Caenorhabditis elegans: one gene and its partners. The protein of the gene in region 2 purifies or fractionates together with the protein of the main gene of each other region. This does not show direct contact. Each region holds a gene or a part of one and is shown on either strand. Other genes may lie near its edges. The genes, in order: agxt-1, app-1, Y26E6A.3 and dnpp-1.

Evidence for each region.
Region 1: the proteins of app-1 (region 2) and agxt-1 fractionate together in Caenorhabditis elegans (co-fractionation; one large-scale study listed by BioGRID). This does not show direct contact.
Region 3: the proteins of app-1 (region 2) and Y26E6A.3 fractionate together in Caenorhabditis elegans (co-fractionation; one large-scale study listed by BioGRID). This does not show direct contact.
Region 4: the proteins of app-1 (region 2) and dnpp-1 fractionate together in Caenorhabditis elegans (co-fractionation; one large-scale study listed by BioGRID). This does not show direct contact.

The regions. Positions count from the first base shown.
Region 1 is NC_003280.10:8,842,161-8,850,651, reverse strand, and holds agxt-1 (Alanine--glyoxylate aminotransferase), read right to left. Parts: upstream 5,055-8,491; 5' UTR 5,013-5,054; intron 4,423-5,012; 5' UTR 4,330-4,422; coding exon 4,273-4,329; intron 3,592-4,272; coding exon 3,433-3,591; intron 3,367-3,432; coding exon 3,288-3,366; intron 3,241-3,287; coding exon 3,132-3,240; intron 3,089-3,131; coding exon 2,890-3,088; intron 2,706-2,889; coding exon 2,578-2,705; intron 2,528-2,577; coding exon 2,432-2,527; intron 2,387-2,431; coding exon 2,128-2,386; intron 2,070-2,127; coding exon 1,945-2,069; intron 1,895-1,944; coding exon 1,888-1,894; 3' UTR 1,750-1,887; downstream 1-1,749. Other genes in the region: oac-46 (Acyltransferase 3 domain-containing protein), read left to right, coding at 1-90, 222-477, 600-844, 1,165-1,431; F46C5.6 (Serine/threonine-protein phosphatase 4 regulatory subunit 4), read left to right, coding at 6,166-6,213, 6,404-6,549, 6,633-6,839, 6,886-6,947, 7,024-7,089, 7,269-7,342, 7,384-7,490, 7,615-7,722 and 3 more.
Region 2 is NC_003279.8:4,963,250-4,970,850, forward strand, and holds app-1 (Xaa-Pro aminopeptidase app-1), read right to left. Parts: upstream 3,841-7,601; 5' UTR 3,822-3,840; coding exon 3,702-3,821; intron 3,657-3,701; coding exon 3,276-3,656; intron 3,229-3,275; coding exon 2,794-3,228; intron 2,747-2,793; coding exon 2,693-2,746; intron 2,645-2,692; coding exon 2,505-2,644; intron 2,455-2,504; coding exon 2,087-2,454; intron 2,041-2,086; coding exon 1,868-2,040; intron 1,825-1,867; coding exon 1,645-1,824; 3' UTR 1,418-1,644; downstream 1-1,417. Other genes in the region: Protein pid-4, read left to right, coding at 1-518, 565-714, 762-989; W03G9.5 (Protein kinase domain-containing protein), read right to left, coding at 4,758-4,991, 5,036-5,134, 5,567-5,744, 5,796-6,053, 6,202-6,755, 6,798-6,884, 6,940-6,996; W03G9.9 (uncharacterized protein), read left to right, coding at 7,174-7,275. UniProt on the Caenorhabditis elegans protein: Catalyzes the removal of a penultimate prolyl residue from the N-termini of peptides, such as Arg-Pro-Pro. Has activity towards the flp-9 neuropeptide KPSFVRF-amide.
Region 3 is NC_003284.9:13,906,958-13,913,363, forward strand, and holds Y26E6A.3 (Methyltransferase-like 26), read right to left. Parts: upstream 2,994-6,406; 5' UTR 2,930-2,993; coding exon 2,849-2,929; intron 2,772-2,848; coding exon 2,637-2,771; intron 2,356-2,636; coding exon 2,269-2,355; intron 2,221-2,268; coding exon 2,152-2,220; intron 1,980-2,151; coding exon 1,818-1,979; intron 1,697-1,817; coding exon 1,616-1,696; 3' UTR 1,414-1,615; downstream 1-1,413. Other genes in the region: Y26E6A.2 (F-box domain-containing protein), read right to left, coding at 4,268-4,591, 4,957-5,415, 5,554-6,012.
Region 4 is NC_003281.10:5,859,717-5,866,489, forward strand, and holds dnpp-1 (Aspartyl aminopeptidase), read right to left. Parts: upstream 4,088-6,773; 5' UTR 3,993-4,087; coding exon 3,882-3,992; intron 3,831-3,881; coding exon 3,737-3,830; intron 3,690-3,736; coding exon 3,272-3,689; intron 3,223-3,271; coding exon 2,416-3,222; intron 2,369-2,415; coding exon 2,275-2,368; 3' UTR 2,126-2,274; downstream 1-2,125. Other genes in the region: dpf-4 (Peptidase S9 prolyl oligopeptidase catalytic domain-containing protein), read left to right, coding at 1-274, 332-830, 968-1,584, 1,639-2,095; rabn-5 (FYVE-type domain-containing protein), read left to right, coding at 4,841-4,891, 4,941-5,042, 5,097-5,303, 5,353-6,086, 6,440-6,590. UniProt on the Caenorhabditis elegans protein: Aminopeptidase with specificity towards an acidic amino acid at the N-terminus. Plays a role in membrane trafficking and is specifically involved in the recycling and degradation of endocytic cargo.

The DNA of each region.
Region 1 (8,491 bases), on a different chromosome or scaffold from region 2:
TGGACATGGTACATCGGAACTGAATTCATTTATTATTTGCTCTCTCCAATATTCCTTCTCACATTAAGGAAAGCGCCAAAGATCGGATTTGTGAGTTTTCTTTTTTTACAGAAGATATCTTTTCAAGCTTTGATAGTATGTTTCGTGAAGCTTGACTATTAGTTTAACATTTCGTAAAACCAAATGTTTGTATCTACAACTTTTCATAAACACTTCTTCAGATTTTGTGCTTCGTCGTAATTATGTTCTCAGCCGGTTTGAATGTAGAATCCATCGTTCGCAACAACTTCCCGCCAACCCAATTCCTTTGGAAGCAACCGGAAATGTTCAATCCAAATTTTATTCAACACCATCTTGAACTCTACATCAAACCACAATATCGCATTGGACCATATCTTATTGGAATTCTTCTTGGTTATCAATTGGCTAGATATCAACGAATTCCTGTGAAACCACAGCAAAGCAACAAATATATCAGTGAGTTTGAATTTATTTTTAGCTGTTAAAACAAATGTTCATCTTTCATGAACCAATATATTTTTTTAAATTAAAAACTAATTATTTTATTTTAAAAAAATTCTAAGCCTTCTTAATTCCAGTTTCAATGTGGTCAGTGGCACTTGTGGGAATCCTTTTCGGTTTGTACGGTCTCTACCCAGCTCTTCAAGGATGGGATTCAATTGCCTGGAGAGCATATCACTTGCTCTATGGAGCACTCCATCGTGACATTTTCTCAATTGGTATTGCATTCCTTATCTACATCTGTCATACTGGAATTGGTGGACCTGTCAATGTCTTCCTCTCCTCCAATTTCTTCTTACCATTGGCCAACTTGAGTTTCTCGGTTAGTTTTCAAATTTCTAATGTTAAAATAGGATTACTCTCATTCTTAAACTTCAAATTAAATCTTTCATAGAACCTTACTTCCTTGTATCACTACAATGTTTACGTTTAATTATTTTATTTTGATAGAATAGGAAGTGTTTTAATGTTTTGTTTTGATGAAGAGAAATACTTGGTTATTAGAAAAACCAAATTATTTTACAGTTTATTCAACCTGAAATCTTTCAAATTACAAGTACCACTTTGACAAATGAATGAAAATATGTGCTTCGAAAATTGAAAAGGCAAAATATTGGCTTTATAAAAATAAAATATTTTCAGGCCTACTTGTTCCACATGATTCCAGTGGTACTCACTTACATGCTCGTTCCCTTCCCAATATATTTCAATACTCAAATTCCACTCTTCATTCATTGTTTTGTTCAACTTCTCATTACATATTTCTTTGCCATAATATGCACAATGGTCAGTGAACTTCCAGCTCTGAATATCGAAAGGTTATTGCTTGCCTCTCCACCAAAAACTACACTCAAACCGAGTCCACCAACAGATTCGGAAATTCAATTAAAGCCTTCCGATAAGGCTTAATTTCTAATTGTTTTAATTTTTGACTCAAAAATTCATTTTCATCAGGCACGGGACATTTGAGGTAAATAGTGGGTGATCATTTCCTTGTCAACCCGAATTCATTACGAGTAGTCTCATTCATTTCTTAAATTGTTTCATTTCATTCCGCCATTCACTTTTTCATTTGTTAGCTCCTCTTTCATTTGCTTTACATTTCTTTTAGATTAGTTGAAATTTTTCTGTTCTTCTTTCTTGATGGTCTTTCAGTAATTGATTATTCCCCCGGTCATCGACTGTTTTTCCTTCGCTTCTTCTATTTTTATCATGTAAATAGAAATTCTTGTTTTTTGTTCATTCAAATTAAAACCCATAAAAACATTAAATAAATTTAAAATGTTCATACAAAACGCATACGAAATTACAATAAATCATAAATTAGCATGAAATCACAAATTGATGGATCTACGACTGATGGATCTACTTGCTGAAAATATAAATAATTTGATAAGGAAACGGATCAATTAAATTTTTGACCTTTTCTCTCCAATTGATTTCGACAAAAGTTCCACAACATTTTCGATTTTTGTCGAATTCGAGTTAATTCCAAACGTTCCGATTCTCCAGATTTTACCAACAGTTGCACCAAGTCCTCCAGCAATCTAAAATTAAAACAAGTTACGGTTTTCAAACTTCAAATTGGTGGATTTTCGAATTTACCTCCGTTCCATTTGTCATCATTTTTCCAGCAACATCTTTCCAGTCAACACCCTCCGGTACTTTCACAGTAGTCAAACATGGCAATCTCAATTTCTCATCCACTACAAATGGTTCCAATCCATGCTTTTTCAGAGTAGCATACAACACTTGAGCATTATCTTTATGTCTTTGGATTGATTCATCAATTCCTTCTTTTGCAATTGCAGAAAGTGCTGCACGAAGAGCATATACAGTGGAGATTGGAGCAGTGTGGTGATATCTGAAATTTTTCAATAAATTTCATCATTTCATAGTTTTTTCCAACCTTTTCAATTCTCCATCACAACCCCAATAGTTGCCCAATTCGATGGCATCAAAGTAGAACGAGGCGACGCGTTGTTTTCGGTTCCGGATTTTTTCCCTAAAAATGAAGAGGAATGCAACTATATGTGTTTTGTTTCTTATTCTTACATGGCTCGATCGGAGAATGAGATAGGCGCAAGTCCTGGTGGAGCGTTGAGAACTTTCTGGGTTGCCGAATAGACACAATCAACTTTCAGATCATCTGCTGCAAATGGAGTTCCACCGAGGGACGCCACCTGAAAATGAAAACTTTGATCATTAAACATCTATTTTCAATTTTGAGACTCGTTCGGCAAATTTCAATTTTACTACATTAAAAAACACCTTAAACTTTTCAGAAACAAAACCGTTAATTTTTGAAACATTGTAAGATTTATAAATAAATGGTGAGGATCGAGAAAGTTAAAAAAAACCACAAACCGTATCAACAAGGAACAGAGCACCATGCTCTCTGCAAGCATCTCCAATTGTTTCCAATGGTTGAGCAACTCCCGTTGAACTATCTCCCTGACAGACAAAAACCAAATTTGGTTTGTAATCAGCAATTGCCTTTCTGATATCCTCAACTGGAACTGCTTGCCCCTGCGGAGCAGTAATCTTCTTAACTTCGATTCCCATTCTATCAATTTTTAATTTGTAACAAGAATATTGATTTTAAAAACCTATTAGCCAAATCAGCAGCTCTTTGTCCCCAAAGTCCAATTTCTACTACAAGGAATTTGTCCCCGGGCTCGAGAAGATTAACCATCGCGCATTCCATTCCAGAATGACCTGAATATTAGATTTGATATTGAGAAAGTTGATATATGCACACTAACCAGTTCCACTGACAGCAAACGTATACTTATTGTCGGTTTTGAAGACATACTGAAGACCCAGACGAACATCTGCCATAATCTGAAATTAAAGCTTTATGAATTAGTTTTCGATTTACTATTTTTCCAACAAAACATAAAAAGATACCTGAACAAATTCTGGATGCAAGTGTCCTAACAAATTGCGAGATTGGGTCTCAGCAATCGAATCAGCCATGTTCGATGGTCCTGGTCCAAAAAGTTGCCGCGGTGGGACAACCATATCTTGCAGAAGAGCTTTTGGTGGAGCACGAGACGACATTGATGACTGGAAAAAAAGTAAAATACATAAATACTCGAAGAACATGGTAATCGATTTGGAAGTGATAATTTGAGAATATAATAACTAAAAGGTCGTTCAACACGTGGTTCTCAAAACAAATGTTATTAAAAACAAAACATTAACGAAAAACTGATCTTAAATTTAACTAAAATGTTTTCCATTTCGCAGTACTGACATGGAACTAATATGAAATGCGCTCTATTTGCATGTAGAATGGAGTAGAGACACAGAGAAACCAATTGGTCAAGAGGAGATTGAACGGTGTGTCCAAATGGTCAAGAATTGGTTTGATGTCTAGGGGAGAAGGGTTGAAGGGTCGAATGCCAAACGGCATACTAGATGGTTAGAAATTTTCCATAAATCAAAGTGGGTTTTTTTTTCACCAAATACTGTAAAAATCAAGTACATGATTTTAGAGTTTGAACTCGAAAGACATAATTTTCATGCTGTTAGATAATTTTTTTTAAGGAAAAAACCTTCAAAAACTTTTTTTAATGAACAATGGCATATAAATATAAAATAATTGCAGTAACTAAAAAGATTGTATCAATGAACAGTTTCATCAATGATAACACATATGTTGATGTATGATGACAATAAACTCTCAGAGGCGGTTCCAATTTGTGTACTCAATAAACCTATTATTTTTGAACCAATTGAACTCACCTTAATTCCAAATCCAAAAATCGAGACTGAAGGTCTTAGAAATCGCGTTGAAATCATATCTTCGAAATTAAATCAATTGAGGAAGAATATTGAGGTAGAGAAGAAAACTTGAGGAGGTTGTCCTGCAGGCGGCAAATATCTCTGTGACTCCTCAAAGTACATTGTTCTTTCATTTTCACTGACTGACTGACTGACTGAGGGGCTATTTTATCACAATGTATAAATGACCAGTCGATGGTATAAATGATAACGAGAAGACACCCAGAGATCGGTCAATTTTTAGAGAAGAGTTCAAAGAAACACTTGAAAGTGCACTGGGGAAAACCTCGTGGTTATTTTATAGTTTATGGAAATTGAGTGGAAAACAACACTTTTTTGCAATTTGGTTTGAGCATAATTTTTATGGATAGTTCATTGGCACATTTCCGTTAATCTAGAAAATAACGTTTCAAGATTTAGGAGATCATCCGAAAAAAACTAGTGGAATTTTTTAAATACACAGTTTAAAAATCAGTTAAAATTTTAATAAAGTGCGAACAATAAGCTATAATGGGAACTAAAGTGGTCTAATCAATGACGTGGAATTAGTCAGATGGCTACAAAAAAACATTAAAACATTTTTCAAAATTGTCTACCAAATAATGAAACTAGAAAATTTAAGGACTACCAACTTATCTTACTCAAAACAATACAAATCGAGAAAGATTACCAACTTCAAGAGAGTTTAATTTGAACTTTACCTCGAACAACGAGCAGATCCAGAGAAGTTTAGACTTCGGAATAAATTTTTTTTCTAGTTTCATTTCCATGAAAATAGCATTTCACGTCTACAGAAATTGATACGATGAATAAATTTAGAAATTAATATTTAAAAGTTCATTGGTTTGTGTTAACTTTGGAAAAATAATAAAGCTTTGAGATATTAACTTCTGAACATTTTCAAATTTAGCTTCTACATCTTATTCCTTGAATTTCGCCTAGCTTCGTCTGAAATCTCCTCACATTTTTCTTTACCCAAATCTATAAATGAGTTTTTCAGCCAATTCACTTGTATGCCTGGAGATACCTTGAGAATTCGGAAAGTACTGATTCGTGAAGAACACTTTCCAGATCACACGAGTTTATTGCACATTTTGAAATGTTTTGAACAATTGCACATTTTATTGATAAAAATAAGAAAACTGCTCAGGTTTTTCGAAATCGAGTTGGATTCAATTACAGGTCAACTCAAATTTGTGATGTCTCGTGATCTTTGAAGCTCTCCGGTTTCAGTGTCTGTTTTTGCTGTGAACACTATCTTTCTCTATCTTTTTTTTCTTCAGCTTCATCCTTTGAGCTTTTTCGTCTTCATTTCTTCATCTCCTCCCTCGCTTTTAACTTCTCACACTGGATCACAAGCGTGCCCTTCGATCCCGATCCTCTTGGCCGAATATCTTTACACACCGACTTGATGTCTGCGTCTCACCAATCATTTTGAATGTTTCGAGAGGATAGAGATAGTTGCTCATCGCCCGGGAGTCACAGCTGCCTCTTCCTGCTTCTCCTCCACCTCCTCTACATTCCAAAGCAAAAAGAGTTTGTATTATTGAAGAATCATGTTGTTTCTGCATCATTCTAGATCACTCGTCATATCTAACCACACTTTCAAACTTTCTTGCCCAACGCAAACCATTTTGAAAATGTGTTTCATTTGTTTGCCGAACAAAAATGCATCTAAAGAGCTGCCCCTACCTCTTGATGGATCATGCGAAAAAAAGGCGGGACGTTCAAACTGTTGACTCTTTTCTTTTTTCGTTTATCTTATCTCTCTCTCGTGTTGCTCTTTGTCTCATCTTATTGTAAATTGATTTTCGAAAAATTTCAGATATTCTAATCACATTTTCCAACATTTCAATGGTCGCTGCCACAGAAATGGATGGAGAATCTATAGTTGATATTAAAGTAAGGCATAATTGTAATGATAAAAAACGAGATTTAGAAATTTAAGTTTTTGATTGTGAAAATGAGTAATGAGTAATGAAATTAGGCATTGGAAAATATACTAAATTTTTGCAGTAGTTGCCTACTTAAAACGGCTTTCACACCAAAATTTCTTCAGAAAAGATTTTATAGAATTCGTTTTGTTTTCCAGCATGATCAAATTGAAGATGACGAGACAGAAGAAAAAGAACCTCCTGTAATGAAGTTGGATTTCGAAAAACTATTCAAAATGGCAGAAGATCCAGATCTTGAGGAATTGCTAAGATCACCATTGGATCAGGCTCTAATCAATTTAGAGTAAGATTTATTAATTAAAAAATCAAAATTGATTTTTCGACATTTTGTAAAAAAGGAAATCGTTCATACCATAAAATTTTCAGAGACGGAACTGAAATTCAAAAGCTCACATCAATTCGCACATTTCCTGACATTCTGGACACCTCCGACGGAGAAAAGTGCCTTCTAAAAATGCTACCAGCAATTCAAAAATGTTTGAAAATTGAAAAATCAAACCTAGACCTTCACTGTGAAGCTGCAGTTGTCTATAAGTCAATTATTCAAAATGAGGACCTCGTGAAAAAATTTCAGTGAGTATTAAAACATTCCACTACTTTAAAATAACAAGCTTTCTAGGGGAATCGTTGATCTTCTACTCGAGAATATTCTTCAAAATATTCAAAATCAAAAAGAGCATCGTAAGTATTTTCCAAGTATCGTATGTACATGTTTTTCCACCTTTCCCCTTCTATCCTCTATCCTAACCATTTCCAGACACTCAGGAAAAGGAAAAAATTGTTATAAAAGCTGGCAGTAGCATCAACAATCAAATGCATCATTGTATGTATTCTCAACTAACAATTTATTTGTTTTTAATAATACCTTTACCTTTTTACCTAATACTCTTTTGAATTACCATTTTAGACATTGACAAAACTATAAAAATTATAACATTAACAACTAAAAAAAACTTGCGCACTAAATAAATTATGTGTAAATTTTAAATTCATATTTTTCAGTGAGTGCCGCTGCTTGGTTAGAAACAATTGTTGAAGTTGCAGACAAATTGTCACTAAGCTCAATCAAATTATATGTAAGCATAAATATTAGATATCCCCTTCATTTAATTTTCAGGTGGTTCCTGTAATTCAAACACAAGCAGAACCTGTTCAGAGGGTACAAAGACGAATTATTGCCACTAAGATTATTCACAAGTTGGCATTGTTTTTACCTCCGAACGAGTGAGTTTGTTATTTGAAATTGTTTCATTTCGCTCTCATAATAGTCCTAACCTACCGGCTTTCTAAAATATATTTAACTTACAAAAAATGTAACTAGGCAATGAACGAATTAAAACATTTTAAGAATAAGAAAAGAACTGTGCCCAATTGTTACCACCTTGTGCAAAGATGCCAATTCAAATGTGAGAGTAGCAGTTGCTCAACGACTTTTTGTCATTGCAAATGCTCTTAAGTAAGTTGTTGGGGTTTTTTGTTTTAGTGTAAAATCATTTAACTTTCAGAAACTCGCACGATGTTGTGTCCTGTCTTTTGCCTTCATATGTACATTTATTAAATGATGAAGAAATGAATGTGAGAGAAGCTGCAATGAATAGTTTGACTGATGCATTCTCCTTGTTCACAAGAGGTTTTGTCAGAAAATAATCATTTCAATTATAATTCAAATTCAAATTCAGATGCACGAAAGCACACACTCTTCTCTGTTATCAAAAAGTTAACCGAAGAGGCGCTTGAGAAAAAGAATGAAGGTCTCGCAGTGATATCGAACAACTTTGGAAAATGGTCATGGGAGCTCAATGAGCTTCTCGATCAACTTGACAAATCATGGGTTCTGAATACATACTGCAAAATGGTGCAAATATCAGACGAACTATGTGAAGGCCCACAAAAGAATATTCGTAACGTATTGAAGAAGACGTGTTGTTTCAATTATCCATGTATGCTGACTATGTTCAAAAAACACGTGGATCGATTACTTCCATTTTTAGAGATGTTCTGTACAGATCATGGTGAGTTATTTGTCCGTGTGGTCGGAGTGTCATTACCCAATTAATATAATGAATATGCTGTCTTTTTATTTTTTGCAATAAAATTAAAAATAACAATTTTCAGATGAAGAAGTTCGAGTGAGCATTGCTTCTTCCTACCATGAGGTTTTAACCATGTTCCCTGATAAACCAGATCTAATACCACCGTTCATCGAACTTCTTCATGGAGGATCT
Region 2 (7,601 bases):
CAAATGCGCTGACTGCATTGATACCTCATGTGAATGTTTTCGATTACGAAAAGGGAGAGATGGAAATCGGAAAAGTCCTCTGCAGCAACAAAAATCTTCATGCGTATGTGATCCCTAAACAACACGATCAGGAGCAAATGCTGAAAGATTTTTCCGCTCGATTCTTGGCTTGGTACAACAAACTATCACATCTTCAAAGAGATACGTTTGGAACCGACAAAGACCCCAAAAGATCAGGAAAACAAGAAGATGGGAAGCCGATGAAGCCATATTTTTGGAGAGTCAATGTTATTTTGTGCCTCCAGGAGTTTCAGGAAGAGGGTACAATGTTCCGAAGAGCTCGTCATGTCTGTGGTATTCGTCCTCACAAAAGTCAACCCGGACTCGATTTGTATATCGAGATTGACACAGGAAGTATGAGAGCTCTGAAGACGAATTATCTGACTGTGAGAAAATTGCCGCAGGAGTTCGCGAATGTCCCAACTCCAATCCTTGAAGTTCGATTTGAAGGTGCCAAGGTGAGCAATTTTTCTCATACACATCCAGTGTATCTTGTTTTTTCAGACCGAAGAAGATGTTGCCCGGAGAATCGCGCACATCAGGAAAACGGGTCGTGCATACATCAAATCATTTGATACAGGAAAACGGAAGATCTACCAGAACAGCTTTTTTAATGGCCAGCCAAAGGATTGGAGTAACATCGAAACAGCTGTGGTATAAATTTATATTACTCTTTTTCAAAAACGAAATCCTATTTTCAGTTGCTGCCACCAAAAGAAAGCTCAATGTCGAAGCTGTTCTGTGAGGATAGGGATTGCATGGGACTATGCTGCACAGATCAATGGCTTGAAAATGCGGAATCATCCCCGGGCATCTCCACAATTCCAGCGTCATGGATCGCCGATAAGAATAAGAAGCCATTCGTGGACAGATCTCCGCAAAAATTCAAATTTCCCGCGAGCGGCAGCTATATGAAGCCGGCCAACTAGTGCTTGATATTCAAGCTTTAATTATTTTTCATCTGTGTCATCAAACCGTATTCTAGTTTACTTGTTAAGACCCGTTGGTCCGTATTTTTGTTTCTTTTTTTTAAATATTTCAGTTTACGAATCAACAAATAAAAATTATTCATTTTCAAGAATTTGTAAATACAGGAAATCGAGGAGAAGTTAAAAGCGAGAATCTTGGATCTATGAGAATGCAGTTCACAACAGCTTCATCAGTTTCGCAACAGTTTTCAATTCAAATTCGTTATTAACCTTACATCCAATCCTGGCTCACTTGTAAGCACTTTGGCTTGAATCTCTGCACCGATGTCAAAATCCGACAGCAAAATGTCGTCAACCAAACATTCTAGCTTACAGTTGTTAAGACCTGCTAGCCGGCATTGTTATTTATGTTTCAATTTTCCAACTAACAAAAGAAAAAGATTCATTCTCAAGTATTAGTACAGGAAATCTACGGAAAAGCGAGAAAGAACGACAGGAGAAAAAAAGGGGAATACGGATGAATCATTCGGGGAGAATAAGTTTTACACCAGGATCCAGAAATTGTGATAAAAAATAGTTAATTGAGCACAAATTTGCTCAACAAGACGTTGACCGGTTAAAATAATATAAAACATGTTGTAATTGTTCCAGATATTTAGATTGGTTTACAGGCTTCTGCGAGCCATTTCAGCTCATCCGTTTTTCCGCGTTTCTGAAGATGTTCACCAACTTCCTTCAGAACCCGAGCGTGGTATTGATTGAGCCAATTGATTTCCTCTTCAATCAGAAGAGACTTGTCGACGATCGAAGTTTGAATAGGCACCAAAGTGAGAGACTGAAATTAATAAGTTTATAAAGTTCCTGGGATCTGGGTATACCTTGAATGTCAAGAAGTTCTGAGCTTTAGACATGACAACAGCTTCAACTGTTTCGTAACAGTTTTCAATTCGAATTCCGTACTTCTCCTTGGCATAGAATCCTGGCTCAATGGTAAGCACTTGGCTGGCATGAAGCTCTCCACCGGTTGGAACACTACGATGACCGATTCCGACTGAAAATAAATATTCAAACAGTTACATTTACTGTTTTCGTCTTACTCGGTCCTTCGTGTACGTTAAGGTAGTGTCCAACACCGTGTCCAGTACCATGTTCAAAATCGAGACCAAGCTTCCATAAAGCATCACGAGTCAGCGTGTCCAAACGAGAACCATAGATACCATCAGGGAACTTGGCCCGTGCCAAATTAATGTGTCCCTTCAATACAAGAGTATTGTGCAGAATGAACTCTTTCGGTGGGTTCGTGTACCACACAGTTCTCGTCACATCGGTTGTTCCATCTCCATAATGAGCTCCAGAATCGAGGAGGAACACCTGATTGGCTGCAGCCTTACGATTGCCACTTTCTCCGAGAGGCTTGTAATGGGGAAGTGCTGCGTGATCTCCGACAGCTGATATGGTATCAAAACTGAAAATAAATATAAATTAAATGTAGTTTTAAATATTTAACAAACGAACCTCAAAGTAACATATTTGTCTTGAAGACTTCTCAAATGGTCTATCTTATCAGCTAACTCGATTTCAGTGTATCTTTTTCCAGAGAGCAACTCCTTTTCGAGCCAGCAAAGGAACTCAACAAGAGCAGCACTATCACGAAGCTAGAAAGAATTAAATTATATCCTAAACGATGCTGTAGCCATTCTTACATGACTGTTTCTCATTCCTTGCATTTCATGATCGTTTTTGGTGGCCTTGGCGGTCTGAAAAAGATTAAATTTCAAAAATTTCAAGAAATTCATGGAATTACCTGAACCAGGGAAGTGTCAACCATCGAGTTCTCTTCGCCAATAATGCTTCCAATAGCGTAATTAGTTTCTGGTGTGAGATAAACCATGTGAGGCTCTTTGCTCGCTTCTTTTGCCTTGAGCCAATTGGATATCCATGAATAGACTTCTCCGTATGGATGAATCGATACATTCGATTTGTGGAAATGGGCTCGAGATTTCTCATCGAGTTTCTCATTGTCGATAAATACGTGAATCTCGCGCATTGCCACGAAGAGATATGAATATGCAAGAGGATTGTACGGGATATCACTTCCTCTAATGTTCAGAAGCCACATAACATCATCAAGAAGAGTAAATACAGCTGCGTCGCACTTTTTTTGTTTCAGCTTCTCCCGAAGATTCTCGACTTTTTTTGAAGTTGTAAGACCAGTGTCTTCAACATCGAGCACGACTACCTGAAAAGTGGAACATTAAATCCCGCAGTATAGATCTATCAACTTACTGGCTCACCAGCGAGTCTTGGCCGATCAGTCCAGAACTCGTCGACTAGATTTCCAGGAATCGAGACTGGTTGAAGACCTGCTGCCTTCAGACGTTTAAATGTCTTGGAACCAGCGTCGAACGTCGACAGAGTTGGATCAAATCCAATAACGGATCCACGCTCGAGCTCTCTCACAAGCCAATCAACGACAGTAATCGAATCGGGCTGTCCTTGTTTCATCAATTTCCAGCTGTTGGAATCAAGCTGATTCCCGGCTTGAGTGAAATATCGGCCATCAGTCCAAAGGAGAGCTTCTCTATCGGTAACAACAACGTAGGCATTGGAACCACTGAAACCAGACAGGAATTTCACTCGAAAATCGTAATCGGCTAGATATTCGCTCTGAAAATTAACATTTAGAAGATTATTTGAAGCCTAAAAACCAACATGATGAGCGTCAGTGCTTGGGAGAAGATACGCGACCATCGGCTTGCTGGAAGTGAGCGCGAGAACCCGTTCCGAATGGAACAAGGATCTCAATTTTGCGAGTTTTTCCAATGCTGTCATCACTCCAATTCTGCCCGATCTGAAAAAAAAAGAAAATTAAAGCTAAACTTGTAAAGAGAAATTTAAAAACCAAGCGTCTAATCGTCTGCACATTTTTCTCGAATTTTAGAGCTGATAACGAATAAAACCAACGACGAAATTGTCGATCAATCGTTTTAATACGCAATCACAAATGGTTTTATACATACAGAAATCAAAAATCATCTCTGAATTCTATTGAATGAAAACAACAGAGGATGTGGAAATTTTTTGAGAAGAAAACTGAAAAATAACTATTTTTGAAGTCTAAAAATGTTTTAAAATGAAAAATTAACTGCCGAATCGAGAACGAACGCTGTTCCAAAAAATGAGAAGAGTATCTACGGACTCGAGATCTCTAGACTCAAGAAGTGGAAACTTGGAAAACCGCAAAGGAAACGTTTTGAAATATCATTAAAAGACGAAAATTTCAATGAAAATGTTAATTTCACTGTGGATCATTTAAAATATTAACTTTATTCGTGTCCTGATACGAATTATCCACGCTTTTTTTCAGAAATTTTTATGACACGAGGTCTCACAGGCCTCTAATCGGTGGTGACTCGAAAGCTGAGAAGGCGCGCTCTATTGATGGGTCAAAAAAGGAGGAGATTTGAAAATGAGTTTCGCTCGAAATTCAGGTCTAGAATTTTAGAAAATAACCTTTAAAAAATACTCATAATAAATTTGTTGAACAAACTGTGAACAGCAAAACCCAAACTCGCATCGCGGTTTTTTATTTCCTCTCCAAAAATTTACGCGTGCGAAAATTAATGAATAATGAAAATTTCAGTCTGGAAATTCATTCTTTCGTATTCAAAAAAATTAAGAAAAAGAAAAATTGTTTTTTTTCAAAATCGTAATTTTTAGCACGATTACATCTGTCTGTGTGTCTACAAAATTAAAAAATAAAATTTATCAATGAAGCTCAAATGATTTCGGCGGCAAAATCTTCTTTCCAATACTTCTAGTGGATTTCGTGGAAACTGCAGACGACAGTTGTGTGCTCTCGAGTTTTCTTTTTTGAACCGTATTATCCTCCGGAACAATAAAATCTTCTTTGGCTCTTCGTGCCGCCCGTGCATTCTTCAGCAACTTCTCTTTATTCGCTTCTTCCTCTTTCTTCTTCCAGTTCTTTTCAATCTGTTCAATCTGAAAATTGGAAAATTTAATACGTCGAATAACGTATTCTATACCTTATGCGCCGATGGTGTTCTCGCAATATATCTCCTTTTCACTTTCTTACTGGTTTCAGATCGAGCAGATGGTGTCGCCGGCTTGGCTTCTTGTTTTCCCTGAATGTTTCAAATATATCTCTTGTCTACGGCACCTACCTACATGCCTATCTACCTGCCGCATGCCTGCCTAATAACGATTTATTATTAATATTGAGCTCCCCCATGCCTGCCTACGCGTTTGCATTAGAACTACACGCAACACACACTTACCTGATTCTCAGATCCCGTATGCCTATTCTGACCTCATACCTACCTGCCTAGGCGCACCTCAAAACTGCATTTCCTATGCCTGGCTTCATACATGCCTTCATTATTCATTCCCTGGTTCTAACTTAATGCCTGCCTGTCTACTTTCTGCTTGCCTAACTTTGTGCCTTCCTCATGCCTACCCCTCGTGCGCCTGCCTATAGGTCTGATCTCAACCTCATATCTGCATATCTACGTGCCTACCTCATGCCTACCTACAACAACTTTCGCCGTAAATCTCACCAAAAATCCATTTTCATCCTCAACAATCGTATCATCTTGAGCAGTATTCAGTCCCTCTTCCTCTGTCGTTTTACCAGCAGCTATAATTTCTTCCATTGTTATATTTCTCTCATTTTGCGGAACATTCAGCAACTTTGACAGATCCACTTCAGTCATGTCTTTCTCGATAACAACTGGCCTGAACATATTCAAATTATCTTAATAATATTCAAAATATTTAAAAACTTACAAAGTTGAAGTTTTCTTCTCAAAATGGCTTTCATATCGTCCACCTTTCTCCCAATCAACTTTCATTTGAGCATTGAAATTTCGTCGAACAAAAATATTCATGAGAAGATCTCGAAGAAGTGCATAATCTGGATTCGTTTGATAACGAAGAACTGACAGGTGTTGAGCAAACATTGCACATTCGGACTCAAGGCCATTGAATAGCTCCGTGACATCTTCTTTCATAACAATCACCTTCTCTTCTTCCATTATTCCCGTCCTGAAAAAAAATGATTAAAGATTTTTTTAACACGAAACGCCACTTTAAAGGCACACACTAGGACTGTATTTTTATCGGTGGGGCTCATATTACTTCAAACTTTTTTCCAGATTTTTACAGAAGCTTCAAAAATGAAAACACCACTCACCATGGCAGTGATCCCTTCACAAATTCGACAATCATATAAAACAAGGACCACAAATCATCATGTCTTCCTTGTTCTTTTCTTTCTTGAGCAGCCACTGAACAATATCTAAGAGTACCTCGAAATGGAACAATTCTCCTTGGTTTCCGTATTCTCAATCCTCCATTCTCCCCATCTTTCACCAAATATTGACGAGAAATTCCGAAATCTAGAACATGAACAAGTCGTTGTTTCGGTGTTCCAAGTGCTCCTATCGCAAAGTTCGCCGGCTTCACGTCTCGGTGCACAAATCCAATATCATGGATTTCTTTAATCGAATCCAATGCTTGAATTCCCATGACTAAAGTGGAAAAAGTCGAGAATTTATTGGTAGGAAGAGTCGCTCGAATTGCATCAAGTGATGGTCCTAAAAGTGTCATAACAATGAATTGATAGTTGTCGCTTTGTCCTTTATCAATAAGTTCCACACAGTGGATAGAATTCTTTTCATTGAGTTTTGAAATTATTTTGTGTTCCATTGGCAGTGTTGGATCCTCATCAAATACGGTAGTTTCAGCCTGAAAGTAGTAATTTAAAAGAATGTCAAAATCTATTATTACCTTGCACGCAAATCTTCTCCCTGGGCACTTCACCATCGCAACTTCGTAAATGACTCCACATCCACCTTCTCCAAGTTTTCTAAATGCCTGGAATATTTGTTTTTAACTTATTGAATACAACTATGTTTTTATCCCAACTCACCAAATATTTTCGGTTTATAACAGATGCAACTTTGATTTTTGGTCTATTCGTCGTCATTTTTTGAATCTTCGGCAAATCCGAGCATAAATTTTGATAGAAATGACTAACAATTGTGGTGTCTTGGAGAGAAAACCAACGAAAGAAAAAAACGTCAAATTGGTTAATGGTTCAGTTCACTGGGAATTTCACGGAGTATTCGAAAGGCATACTATATAAAATTCGAACTACTAGTGAATGTATTCTTCAGCTTTAAGTTCTGGAGATCTACGGGATTGTAGAAGATATGCAAGAGCTGTAATTTCAGCATCATTCATTGCATCGTTAAGGCATGTACAGGTAAGAAAACTTTAAAAAATTGAATTTTTTGTGCCTCGGTGCTTTTTCAAACAATTTTCTATCAAATTTAGCTCAACCGATTTTTGAACCAAATCTTGTATTGAGATAGAAATTTAAATTTGGTCAATATTTCGCTATTTCGCATTAACTTTTACGTAATTCTGGAAATGTTCGCTTTTTATTTCTATTTCTGGAACTAATTTTGGAAAGAAGTACACCTGGTAGATCGACTTCCGTTAATTTTCTATGATTTTATAATTCATTTTATAACTCTGTTCAGTTTTGGTTTTTCATTCTCCTCACGGAACACTATTACTTAAGTGTTA
Region 3 (6,406 bases), on a different chromosome or scaffold from region 2:
TTACACTTTCCAAAGTTTATGGTTGGTTGAACTTTTCACTTTGACATCTAATAAGTGTAAAACAGAACGCCTGGGGTTTTGCACAAAATTCGTATTTATGTACCGATGTTTATTCATGTATGATTCATGTATGATGTATGATTCTGAATCCGATGAGACATAGCTCAATTTTGTCGAAGACGGTAAAAAACCCGTAGGCTACAACATTTAAAAGAAGGATTTAGTTTTTGAGCTGCCGAAACTTCACAAATTAGCTGGAACATCAATTCAGAAATACACAGAAAAACTACTTACCATCTCCAATATCGAAGGTGCTCATTAATGTAGCTTCAATATTCGACACAAATCACGCTGGGAAACCAAGAATTCCAATTTTCCGGCTGTTGAACTTTTTGTTGATCTCCTAGCAGATGTTTTAACTGGAAAATTGCCTATAAACATTTGTTGTATACTTGTTACAAATCACACAAACTGAAAAAAAAACCAGAAGTTTCCACGCACTTGTAATATGAATATTGAAATCAATTGTTTTTTAATGCATCAAGAAACTTTTTTAGCAGCTTGCACACAAATAAATGAAATTCAAATTTAAAAGAAAAGCTGATCGTAAATAAAATGAAGTAAATAAATATAAAAATACTTTTTATTGTTGAGCGCTATTTTTTCTTAGATTGATTTTTTGATCTTACTCGAGCGACATTGAAATGTTCATACTTTTAAGCTAAAAGGATTATTACCCGTTTGTGCGATTTCTGGTCAGATCAGATAAACCAGACAAAGTTTTACTTGTCACAAAATGATAGATGATAAAACTTTAAAAAAAAATAATGAAACGCTTAAAAATAAAAAAATAAAAATCACACGCGCAAACTATTTGGTGATAGCAAATCGAAACATACAAACAAGCAAAATTAGTAATTGTGCTTAGATGCTGCTGGGTTCAGCTGCAATTTTAAATTCAGCAGAACGAACAAAATCTATTTCTGTAATGCCAATCAAATATTCTTAAAGCATTAAAATATCCGTACAATCACCCATATAGTCAATCTTTTCTTAATTCCAGAGTTTTTTTAAATTTTTTTTTTTAAGTTTTTTTTTTAATTTGACATCCGCGCACTTCTTTTTGAAATGTCTAGTTCCACTGTTATAGAATGACTTCACATTAACACCAAGAATCGGCTCTGCTCACTAGACCAGAAATAACTGCGTCAAAGAAACATAACATGAAGGTGGCAAAACACCTGCTTCAATACTTGAAACGTTTCTTGAGGAAGTTCGAAAATGGTTTCTTGAAAAGAGTAATTATTTTCCAATAGGTAAAATATTTGAATAAAATTTTTAAATAGCAATTTGGAATCCATTTCAAAAAGACAACTGTTAATATCGACTTCAACCTGAAAATGGAGAAATTAATTACACTTGAAAATGCTTTAAAATCATCATATATCATAGAATATTGAAATCAAACATGCTTTATATTATATTAAAGAGCGTAATATTGCAAATATTATTTGCAGTTAAAAGGAGTTATCAAGGCCATGCATCGCTGAAAATCTAGCGTATTACAAGTATTACAAGTACAGGAGAACAGATTGAAAATAAAAAGTACAAGCGTTTAACGGGAAAAGATCAAAATGAAATTATTCTTCGGAACTGTAATCTTTTCGGCAAGACGGAGGTTCGAACTGTTTGCAAGCTGAAAATTCAATATGTTATAAACTATGAATTTATATTTAAATTCTCGAAAAAAATTCTGACTAAGCGTTCAGTTTCATGGTAATAAAACCGAGATTAACTTTAAAAAAAAATCTCCTTACCCTCTCCAGATATTTGATATCCTTGAGGCCATGTTCCGGATCTTCAGCTTTCAGATTTGTATGAAATGCGATGTTTGATTGTGGTGAAATGTGTCCATCCTCTGCATATGGTCCATAAGTCATGAGGATTCCGTTCGTCTCGTGAAGAAGCAAGTCGGCAGACTGTAAAAAAGGTTAAATTAGTTCAGAAGTGTTTGAATTTGATGTGATAAAATTTGTTTTTATTTCAAAATTATTTGCAACTTGAAGAAAAAATTCAGTCCCATTGAAATTTATCCTACTATTTTTGAAATTCGTATTTCACCTTTGACATTTATCAAAAAAAAAAACTTACTTGAAAAAGGCCTTTAACTGCAGCCGTGGAGCAAATGTGAATCATGTTGATATTGAGAACAATGTCGACCTGAAAAAAAACGAAGTTATTTTCCAATATAGTCTGGAAACAATTTACCATATGAGGTCCGAAATCCGCAGGAAGAGCCCATTGATTGAATGGTTTTGCAACGTCGATGAAGAGGGGGATGCGGACGTTTGGAAACTGAAAAATATTACTTTATGGTTACAAAAACATAAAGTTGAGTTTTCATAAAAAGTTGTAAAAAAAGAGAAATCAAAAATTAGTTTAGAATTATTGTTCACCCCAACAGTCTGGAGTGTGGTTTTTTGTTAAAACATTCTGTCAATTGCTGGCAATTAAAATTTTTTAAAGGTTTTTCAACAGGAGTGTGGAAAAATGCAGTCATTTTAATTCAAGTATTATCTCTTTTTTGCTATTGTGAAAAGTGGAAATTTGGGCAGGGCAACTAACTGCTGACTAACCTGACTTTGATCCAAATAAGAAACGATGGAATGGAGGTATCGACCATTAACTTCAGTCGGTTGAAAAGTGACATCCGGCAGAGCCCGTGCAAAATGTTCCATATGCTGTCCAGTTCCAGAAGCTAGCTCGAACACCTGAAAAAAAAAAATATATATATATCGTTAATGTTTTCATTTTAAAAAAATGTGAAACACATTTTTTAAAAACTTACTTTCTTTCCAGATGTTGCGAATCTTCTCAACACCTCCAAAATCACATCCTTGTTCGATTCGGCAGCTGGCGCTCTCAACATCACCAATCGCTGCAACTACGTTCAATTGTTATTTGATTCAAAATGTGAAACAGTCAGTGGTAAAAGAGAAAGGTACGCGCGCGCACTTTTTATAGGGTTTATAACAGTTTGAGATAGATGCTAACCAGAATGAAGAGACTGGTAAGAGAGAAAACAAAAAAAAACAACAGAAGATTGGAATACCAGAAATCGATAGTTGTTGTTTGTGTGGGAAAAAAGGAGGAATGGCAAGTGTTATGCATGGGAAGAAGAGCGAACGAACGGCAAAAAGTTAAGTACAGTGTAAATGCGCAAAAGGCAGATTAAAAGAGGAATAGCAAAAAAAAACGGTTAAAAGAGAGAAAAAAGAAACTAAAAAGAGATTTTGTTTACAAAACTGTGAAAAAAATGAGAGTGCAAAAGTTACACGTGTCCTGCCAGCCAAAGCGAGCTGCAAGCCTTGCCACGTATAAGGCCAGAGAAAGTAGGGCATCAATGTTTTGTTTTGTTTTTCGTGAAATTTTTGTTTTTCTTAATAATTTTCAACTTTTAGAAGTATTTTAAAAGGTTTCAAATATTAAATGGAAACTAATTCAGCTGAAAATTTTAGTAATAAGACAAAAATTAAAAGAGCGCGTTTTCTGCGAGTTTTTTTAGATCTTGCTTTTTTATATACTTTAATTTGAACCTAAATATTTTTATCAATTTCCTAGAAAAATCAAATCTCGACATTATATAGTAAAACAAAACTCAAAACGAATATATAAAATTTCAAAAGAAAAAATCAAATTCATCTGAAATCAGCACTCGCAGAACGCTGAAATTAATTTGTTCTAATTATAAACTTATTAGGCATATTTCTATTTTTACTTCTTGTTTTTTAATCGATTTAGGCACATGTTAAGCCGGTTGGCATACTATAGGTGGTACATATTTGGTTGTTTGAGGCCATTTTTGTTATACCACAGTATTAACCCATAAATGTTACTTTGCGGTAAATGTATCACGCTTTAGATTTTTTTACTACTGAAAATGCATGACGAAAACCAATCTACAAAAAGTGTACCAAAGTTTATTGTTTCATCAACATGAATGACTGGATAATAGATTTGCTTGGGAATTGGAGATTTGACAAAACAAAACAATAACTTAGAAGTGGAATGAGCTGTGTGAAAAAAAAACCGGGTTGGAGTCTAATAGTTTTTGAGATGAACAAGAATTAGTGACAACAAATATTACAAAAAACTGTTATAAAAAACTATAGAAAAATTGTTATATAGAAAATTTTAGGGAATGTAAGAAATAAATAATTTTCTCATAAAAGTAGATTAGTTGGTTTCATTTTCGCTAAGAATCATGTTAATTAGTCTCGTGAAAAACGTATTCGGTTATTTCTCCATGTGGCATTTGTGATGAGTTGAGCTCACTGATAAACTCCAAATACCCCTTTCGGAAGGAAGTCTTCGGCCGATGACGTCTACCAAAGGGTGTTTGGAAGATGGTGAATTGTTTCAGAATTACCCATCTACCAACTTCTCGGTGTCCATTATCCCAATCACGAAGAGCTTTTCGGAATGTGTCGATATTGTTGAGAGCACAATTGATGTTGACAAAATGCTTCGCAGAAAAGAGCCGTTCTCCGTGATCCCTGTTGAGAGTGTCGCGGATGGATATGGTTTTGATCTGAAAATTTGTATTGCTTCTACATAACACTTGTTTATTTTAAATTTATTTTTAAATTAAAATGTAGAGTATTTTCAGTAGGGAAATTATTTAAATCAGCTCATGAAGTACTAAATTGCCTTGATGTAATTGTAAAAAATTATTTTTAAAAACTTGAAAGTTTGCAATTATGGTCAAAAAAATTGGAAGTCGGCCAAAAAAAATCTATACTTTTAAAATTGAATTGCGTCTCAGTTATTGCATTTAAAACTTTTAGGGGATATTGGAATTTTTATTAACTTATTGCATGATCCTACTTTTTTGGAACGCTCTTTAAACCATAACACGAAAAATTCAAATTTTCTCAAATTCTAAGTACAACTCACATCTGGGAACGGAATGAAGTCGTCAGTTAGTGCGTTCACTTCAATCTCCACAACTTCTTTGTCAAACATTTCCACCATCATTTTCAAATTCTCCGTGTACTCGAAACCCTTGACAATGATTCTTTTAAATGTTCTGGATCCAACGAAGTTGTGCACAGCTTCACAGTATTCCGGTTCGAAATCATCAGTGGTGACAATTTTTAAAATAGTTGTGTTACGCAGCAGCTGGGTTTTCTTCTTCTCGTTGACTTCGGATTGATTCAAGCATTTTTCAGAGTCTGGATCGCTTTCATTTTCTTGTTGATTTTTCTCCAATATCCATCGGACATTCATCTCGCCACTGGAGAAGTCAAGAATCAAAATGACATCTGGGAGCACCATTTTCAGACTATTCTGTCGGTAAATGTTATTGGCAGCACTGCACGTGATTGCTAGACTTTGAGCGTCTTTGTAAGCCGACTGAAAATTTTTTTTAATCTTAGGAATCATCCGGTTGGAAGTGCATCTGCTCAAAAAGTGTTTAACGTTGTTTTTTTGAAAAGGAGAGATTCAGATTTTTTTATTTTTAGAAGTATTTTCCCAGAATTGAAAACTTACTCGTTGCATGATCTGCTCTATCATCTCCGGAGGAAGTTTTAAGAGATCGAACAATTTCACATCATCTTGCTCGATGTGCTTGGTTTCCACATTTTTACTTTTCGGCCGGAAGAAGTTGTCACGAGAGATCAGATGAGAGAACACATTCATTTTTGTAAGCCTAAGATGCTCTGCCATCGTAAAGTCGCAGAGATGAATAGCATCAGTGAGAAATGTGAATCCACCAACTCTCAACGCACTGCTGCATTTTTCCGTTAGAGTTTCACCTTGAAGTTGCTCAATTAGGCACCTATAACGTGTGGGCCCGTTGAATATTGAACGGATTTCTTCAACGGTCCATGTATTGAGAAGGATCTCCATGTCCTCCTTCATACGGTTCATTTCATTGTTGACACGATCTTTTGCATCGGGGAAGAATGGAACGGCCCGAAACAATTCCAGGATGTCTAGGTCGGCCATGTTCTTTTTCTGAAAAATTGAATGTTAGAACATATTGAACGCTCGTTAATAGTAAAGAAAAGTTTATTGGAAGTACATATATTTGCATGTAAGTGGGATTTCTACGTGTTTCATTCTAGTTCACTCTCAGTAATTTTTAAAATAAATGTAGAGGGATATATGTGTATGTACTATGTGTATTGTTTAAGACTAAACTGGAACTTTCTTACACGCCAGAAAAGCTAAGACCAGCCACACAAAAACAGCTAATAATGTAATATGAAAACCTCATAAAAATGTTCATCAATAGCATATTCTACTAACTTGTGTTTTCATGCGACCAGTAGAAAAAGAAACAGGAGAATATGGAGTAGACATAAAATTTTTAATAATTATAGGCATTGAGAATAAACCA
Region 4 (6,773 bases), on a different chromosome or scaffold from region 2:
AGATGCAAGTTGTCGGTGGCAATGTCTACTGGATTGAACAGAATTCAGTAACTGGAAAACGAGAGCTTTACTCAAAACCAACGAATGGAGATACTCGTACACGCTGGGCTGATGGTCAATCTGTTCAAACTGCAATTCACGAGTACGGAGGAGGTGCTCTACATGTTCTTGCTGATGGATCAGTGCTGTTTGCTACGATCGAAGGAGTTTTCTATCAAAAGTCGGCGGATTCCGGAGTTGAGCAATTGGCAGAAGGAAATAATCGAATGTTTAGGTCAGGGATAATTTAAATGGTGTATAACTTTCAAAAATAAATAAAAAACATTTTCAGATTCTCCGACTTCTCAGCCACTGACACCCATGTATTTTGTGTTAATGAAACCCACCAAGCTGATGCAAAATTTCCCGAAAATCGACTAATCTCCATCGACCGAGCAACCAAGAATCAAAACGTCATAGCTCACGGAGCCGACTTTTACGCCTATCCAAGAGTCTCCCCGGATGGAAAAAAGCTTGTCTGGATGCAATGGAGCCTTCCAAATATGCCATGGGACGAGACATCCATCCGAATGGCTGATCTCAAAGGTGGAGAATCCAGCAATGAGGTGACGCTGAAGGACGGAACTGGAAAACAAATCAACTATTCCGAACCAACTTGGGATGGTGATGAGCTTTTAACTGTGAATGATAGCACAAACTGGTGGAATGTGTATAAATCAGCTGCAGAGCCAAATTCCGTCGAGAAGAACCTGAATCCAATTCAACGAGAGATCAGCTACCCGCTTTGGCAGCTTGGTTTCAGAAATTATGTTCTGAATAAAAAATATTTGGTGAGAATTTTAGATTGGAAATTCAAAACATTCTTCAAATATTTTAAACCTAAGTTTACAATTTTCAATATAATTAGTTGAACTAAACACAAAAATTCGAATTTTTAAATTGACCTAATGAAATTTAAATATTTCAGGTAATGAACGCAGACGGAATTTTGTATGTCCGATCGGGAGATGTTACTGTAGAGATTCCAACTCCAGGCTATACTGTATTTGGATATCTTTCACTCGACCAGAATGGTTCTGATCTTTTCGCAATTGCTTCTGGACCAAAACGAGCTTCAAGCGTTATTTCCATCGATCTCGCGAACAAAAATTTCCCATTAAAAGTTCATCGCGAATCCCGAGATTCTTCGGAAATCGACGCTCTCGAGATTTCGGAACCAGAAGAATTTGTGTTCAAATCGGATGGAGTTGATGTTTCTGGTTATTTTTATCCACCGAAAAACTGTTCATATTCTGCTCCAGCTGGAACACTTCCTCCAGTTTTACTTCTCGGACATGGTGGCCCGACGGCTCCAGCTCAGAATAATTTGGATCTTAAAAAACAGTTCTTCACGTCGAGAGGTATTGCTGTTTTTGATGTAAATTATCGAGGATCAACTGGATTTGGAACTGAATTCCGGAGAATGCTTTATAAAAATTGTGGAGTAGCTGATAGAGATGATATGTTGAATGGAGCAAAAGCACTTGTTGAGCAAGGAAAAGTGGATGCCGAAAAAGTTCTGATCACTGGAAGTTCATCTGGAGGGTAGGAATTTAATATTATAGTCATTGTTAAAGTTTTATAAATATTTTTATTCAGGTATCTGATTCTGAGCTGTCTTATCTCACCGAAAAATATCATAAAAGCAGCAGTTTCTGTGTATGGAGTTGCTGATCTATTGGCTTTAGATGAAGATACTCATAAACTGGAAAGATGTTACAATGAGATGCTTATCGGAAAATATCCTGAGCAAGCGAGCATTTACGAAGAAAGAAGTCCCATTTATCATATTGATAAAATTAGAACTCCTATTGCATTCTTGCATGGAAGGGAGGATACGGTAGTACCGATGAGCCAATCTATCACAATGTATGAGAAGATCCGTGCTAGTGGAGTTACAACTGCTCTGATGCTTTTCGATGGAGAAGGACATGGATTTAGGAATGGACAAGTGATCAAGGAAAGCACCGAAGCCACTTTCTACTTTTTGATGAAGGCCGTTGGAATTGAACCATCAATTAGTTCGAAGATCGAAATTGTTAATCCGAAGCATTAGATTTGTTTTTGTTTAAATTGTTATCTATAAAATTTCAGCTTTTAAAAAATGCATTGCTTTATTTATTTGAAAACCAAATAAATTATAGAAATTAATATTCACAGAGAAACTGAAGATTGGATATCACGACGCGATTAAATAGTAGAAATTATGATTGGGAAGGATCAACATTGATTTGCCTATTGCATGTTGGAGAGGACAGTTGACAGACGTTCGTAGAATGTAGAGTAGAGAGTGGTGGCCTGGTAGATGCTCGAAGTGTCGGCAAACTCGCTGAAATCAAGAAAATAAATGATGTGATTTAAAAGTTAAATCCCTACCGAATCGAGTGCATAGCCAACTGTGGGCATCCTACATCGACAGTCTGCAAGCCAAGTTTTGTGGCAAGAATCGGTCCAACCGTCGATCCACAAGGAGAATCATTGCGAACGACGACAACTTGAAGAGGAACTTGAGCTTCGAATGCAACTTGCTTGAGAGCAGCGTGTGTGGTTGAAGTTGTTGCATATCGTTGATTGACGTTTACTTTGACGACGACTCCACCATGGAATGCTGGACGATGGTTCTCTTCGTGTTTTGCCGAATAGTTTGGATGCGTGGCATGAGCTTGATCTGCAGAGATGAGCATGCTCTTTCCGATTGCTTCTTCGAAAGCGGTTGTTGAGCCTCCAGCAGAAAGACGGCGGAGAACGAACTCCGTGAAAGAAGAAGATGCTCCCATCGCGGAATCCGATCCTACTTCCTCGTTATCGAAGCATGCGGCAATACGAATTTGTGGGTCATTCTTGAATGACTCTCCAGTTAGAGACTCGAGAAGTCCACTTATCGCAGTGTATGTTCCAACTTGGTTATCAAGACGAGCTCCAGAAATGAATTCATCCTCCATTCCAACAATCGCAGCCTTGTTTGTATCGTAAAGGTAGAGATCCAAATCAACGATGTCTTCTGGCTGACATCCAGCTTCCTTCGCGATTAATCCGAGGAATTGGGGATGATGATTGTTGGTAATGTTTCGTGGATCGGCAAAACCAGTAGACTCGGGTTTCTGTGGTGCATTGATTCCAGCAGCAGCGAAGGTTTCCAGAATCGGGCGGAGCTCAGTTTCCGTGTTTGGTTTGAATGTTGTTCTGAGAAATAAATTGCAAAATTAGGACGATAGTGACAAATTTCAAATACCTGTCGGTCTCCAAATGAATCGCCAAATTTGGAATGAAAAGAACTGGCTTTTTCACGTCGATCAGCTTGTGTTGAAGTTTCTCTCCATTCTTGACAATAACCAATCCAGCCACCGACAAGTCACGGTCAAACCAGGTTCTCCAGATTCCACCTCCGTAAGTTGATACACCAACTTGAAGGAATTTATCAGACTTTTGGTGGGAAATTGGTTTGACACGGAGGCATGGACTGTCAGTGTGTCCCACAACAATCGAGAATCCACTCCCTGGCTTGTAAGATCCTCCAACAGCGAATGCAAGAATTGCAGAGCGGTTCTTGGTGACAAAGTATTTGCTGGTTGGCTGAATGTCCCAGTGACCCGATTCTGGAAGCTCTGTGAAACCGGCTTGTAGAAGGCGATCCTTCACTTCTTGGGTGGCTGCAATTGATATACTTTTGAATATAAAAATAAATAATAAATATTACCATGAAATGGAGTAACTGCTTTATTCAGATAGTTGATGAACTCTTGTGCAGCTTTGCGGATCTCCGGAGCACTTGGTTTCAGAGCAGCGGCCATCTAAATTAAATAAACTTATTTATGAAAAGACAAAGAAAGAATAGTGAAAACCTTTTTGGGTTGATAGCTGGTATTGGGCTCAATTTCATGTTTTGGATAGCAGCCGCACACTACTTTCAATTTTTCGGAAATACGATTTTTTCGAAACGACTTCTTTGTCATGATTCAAACTCAAAATGAATTGAGCCCAATATTTTACTACCATCGGAGTGAAAATGAAAAAAGATAAGACAAAATGTTGCATAAAATTTGAATCTGGAATGATTTTCTATAAGCGATAAACGGTTAGTTTCTACTGGGCGAAAGTTCGAGAGAAGAATATGTGGTGCTGATTATCAAAAATGCGTTATCAGTGATAGTTATCAAGGTTTCTAATAGAAAGAATCAAAAATGAAGGAAAAGATAATGGAGAAGACATGAGAAAAGCGAAAAGATCAGGAATTATTTGAGGAAAGTTAGTGAAAAAAAAATTGACAGGAAAAAAACGTCGGAAAATTTTAGAAATCGAAAAGAAGAAAAGAACAATTTTTAACGTAGAGTAGTACTGTATTCAAGGCGCAACGCTTAAATCATTTTTTGGGTCCTGGAAAGAAAACTACAATAGCTGGAAATGTTCTGAACTTTGAATATAATTATAAATTTTATATATAAAATTTTGTTCATCTTGATTTTTCAGAGCGATATATTGTTTATAAATAGAATGATTTTTACTACAAATTTTTAAATTTTTATGAATAAAAAATAAATTAAACATATAATAACATTTTCATAACTCAACAGAATGAAATATGTTTATTTCACTCCAGAAAACATTTACTTTTCTCTTGGAAGTCGTTTAATGAAATTAATACTAAAACTGCTCGATTATTATGTTTAATGCTCTTTAAATGTGTCACCAAATGGCCTAGGTTTTCAACCTAGTCCTTGCCAACATTGTGATGAGACCTTTTTTATTTAATTAATCAAATGACTCATATATTTTTCGAATAAATCAAGAATTTTCTAGAAAAATGACAGAACCGTCGGCTAGCGAAGAAGTGTCTGCCGGAGTGAATGCAGAGGTAAGAGTGTTGCATTTTAATCGATAATTCAAAGACCCTTAAATTTCAGGAGCCGCCAATACCGTCCAAAAAGATTTCGCAAGTCTCACCGAATCCAACGCTTCAATGCGAAATGTGCCAGAATTATGAAGTGAATTTGACTGCATTACAGGTGAGAATCATGGGAACACGGCAAATATGCAAATGATTTTTGTTTGTTTTGCAGGAAAACGAACGAAAGTTAAAGGAAGAAGTGAAGGCGGCAATGGAGTTGAACGAAAGATATCAATTGGATTTGAGCAATGAACGAGACTATCGAAAAGAATTGGAAAAGAAAATGAACGAATTATCGACTAATTGTTTGAATCAGGTTAACGAGGCGGCAAAGGCAAATGCCAAGTCGGAGCAGCGGCTGGACGAGCTCAGTGCGAAGGTATTTTAAATAAATAAAAAGAATAACTTTTAAAAAAGCTTAATTTCAGCACGACAAATCGATAGAAGTATTCACTGATCAATTGAATTTGGCTCGTGACAAACTGCAACAAGCCGACGATGACTTTGTTACATTAGGAAAAAAGTACAAAAAGCTTCTCGGGTCCACACGAAAATCAGCACAAGAACTTCGGTCCGAGAAAATCGATATGCCAGCTGATCTTGATCAATTACAATTTATTTGTCTCAAGAATAGGGAAGAATTGATAGAAACTCGAGCTGCAAAAGAGCACACCGAGCAGCAGCTGCAGGATGAGATCACCGTCCTGCGAGCTCAGATTCTAGAAGAAAGAGCGCACAGAGAAGATCAGGAAGTGACATTTACTGCAGAGATCAGCAGATTGCAGTCGGAATTAGGAAAGATCAACACTCGAATGGTTGTTGCATCGGAAACAATTGCAGATCAAGATTCGAATATCAGACAAATTAGAGATCTTCAAACAACTGTCGGTGAACTTGAGACGCAGGTTCAGCAGGTTCAAAATGAGAGAGCCGCTGTTGAACAGACGGCACAGAACTACAAGCAACGGTGCACAAGTCTTCAACAAGAACTCGACACATCTGAAGTTGTGCAGAGAGATTTTGTGAAATTATCTCAAAGCCTCCAAATTCAATTGGAGAAGATTCGACAGTCGGAACAAGAAGTACGATGGCAATGGGATGATGATGTAGATCAATGCTCAAATTGTGATACATCGTTTGCTAGAGTTAAAGTTAAACCTCAGTAAGTTTTTGAAAATGGAAGTTTGAATTTCTGATAAAAAATTACAAGAAAATTATTTTCTTCATTTTCAAAAATAAATTTTACACTTTTCCAATTAAAATATGTCAAACAGAAGATTTTAAAAAGAAAAAAAATATATAGTGATTATGAATCAAGCGTTCGGTACCCTTTCTTAAAACGACCTAAAATATTTTTAAAAAAAGGCTTCGAAAAATAAAAAATCACGCATAGTTTTCCAGAAATAGCAGATTTTTATAAGGAAAAATTTTTAAAAAAGTGCGAAAAATAAGAGATAGCACTATTTTACTTTTTCATGGAATATTTCAGTCACTTTTATTTTTCAAATCTTTTAGCTGTCTTCATTGTGGTCGGATATTCTGCATGAACTGCCTGAAAGACACCGTTCCAAGTGGACCAAATCATCGACCAGCCAATGTGTGCAAAGTATGTCACACACTGCTCAATCGGGATACAAAACCATTCTTTGCAACGCAGGATAAGTAATAATTCATCTGGAATGCTTATTCTGTCGCTGATTATCCACAACTCGCCCTTCCAATTTCACTTTCGCCACCTTTTCCCGATTTTATATGTGCATCATCCGTGTGCTAGAATGTCTAGTCTTTTAATTCTTGTACAATGCTTAATCTATTCTATATACGTACATATATACCAGAAATTGATCTA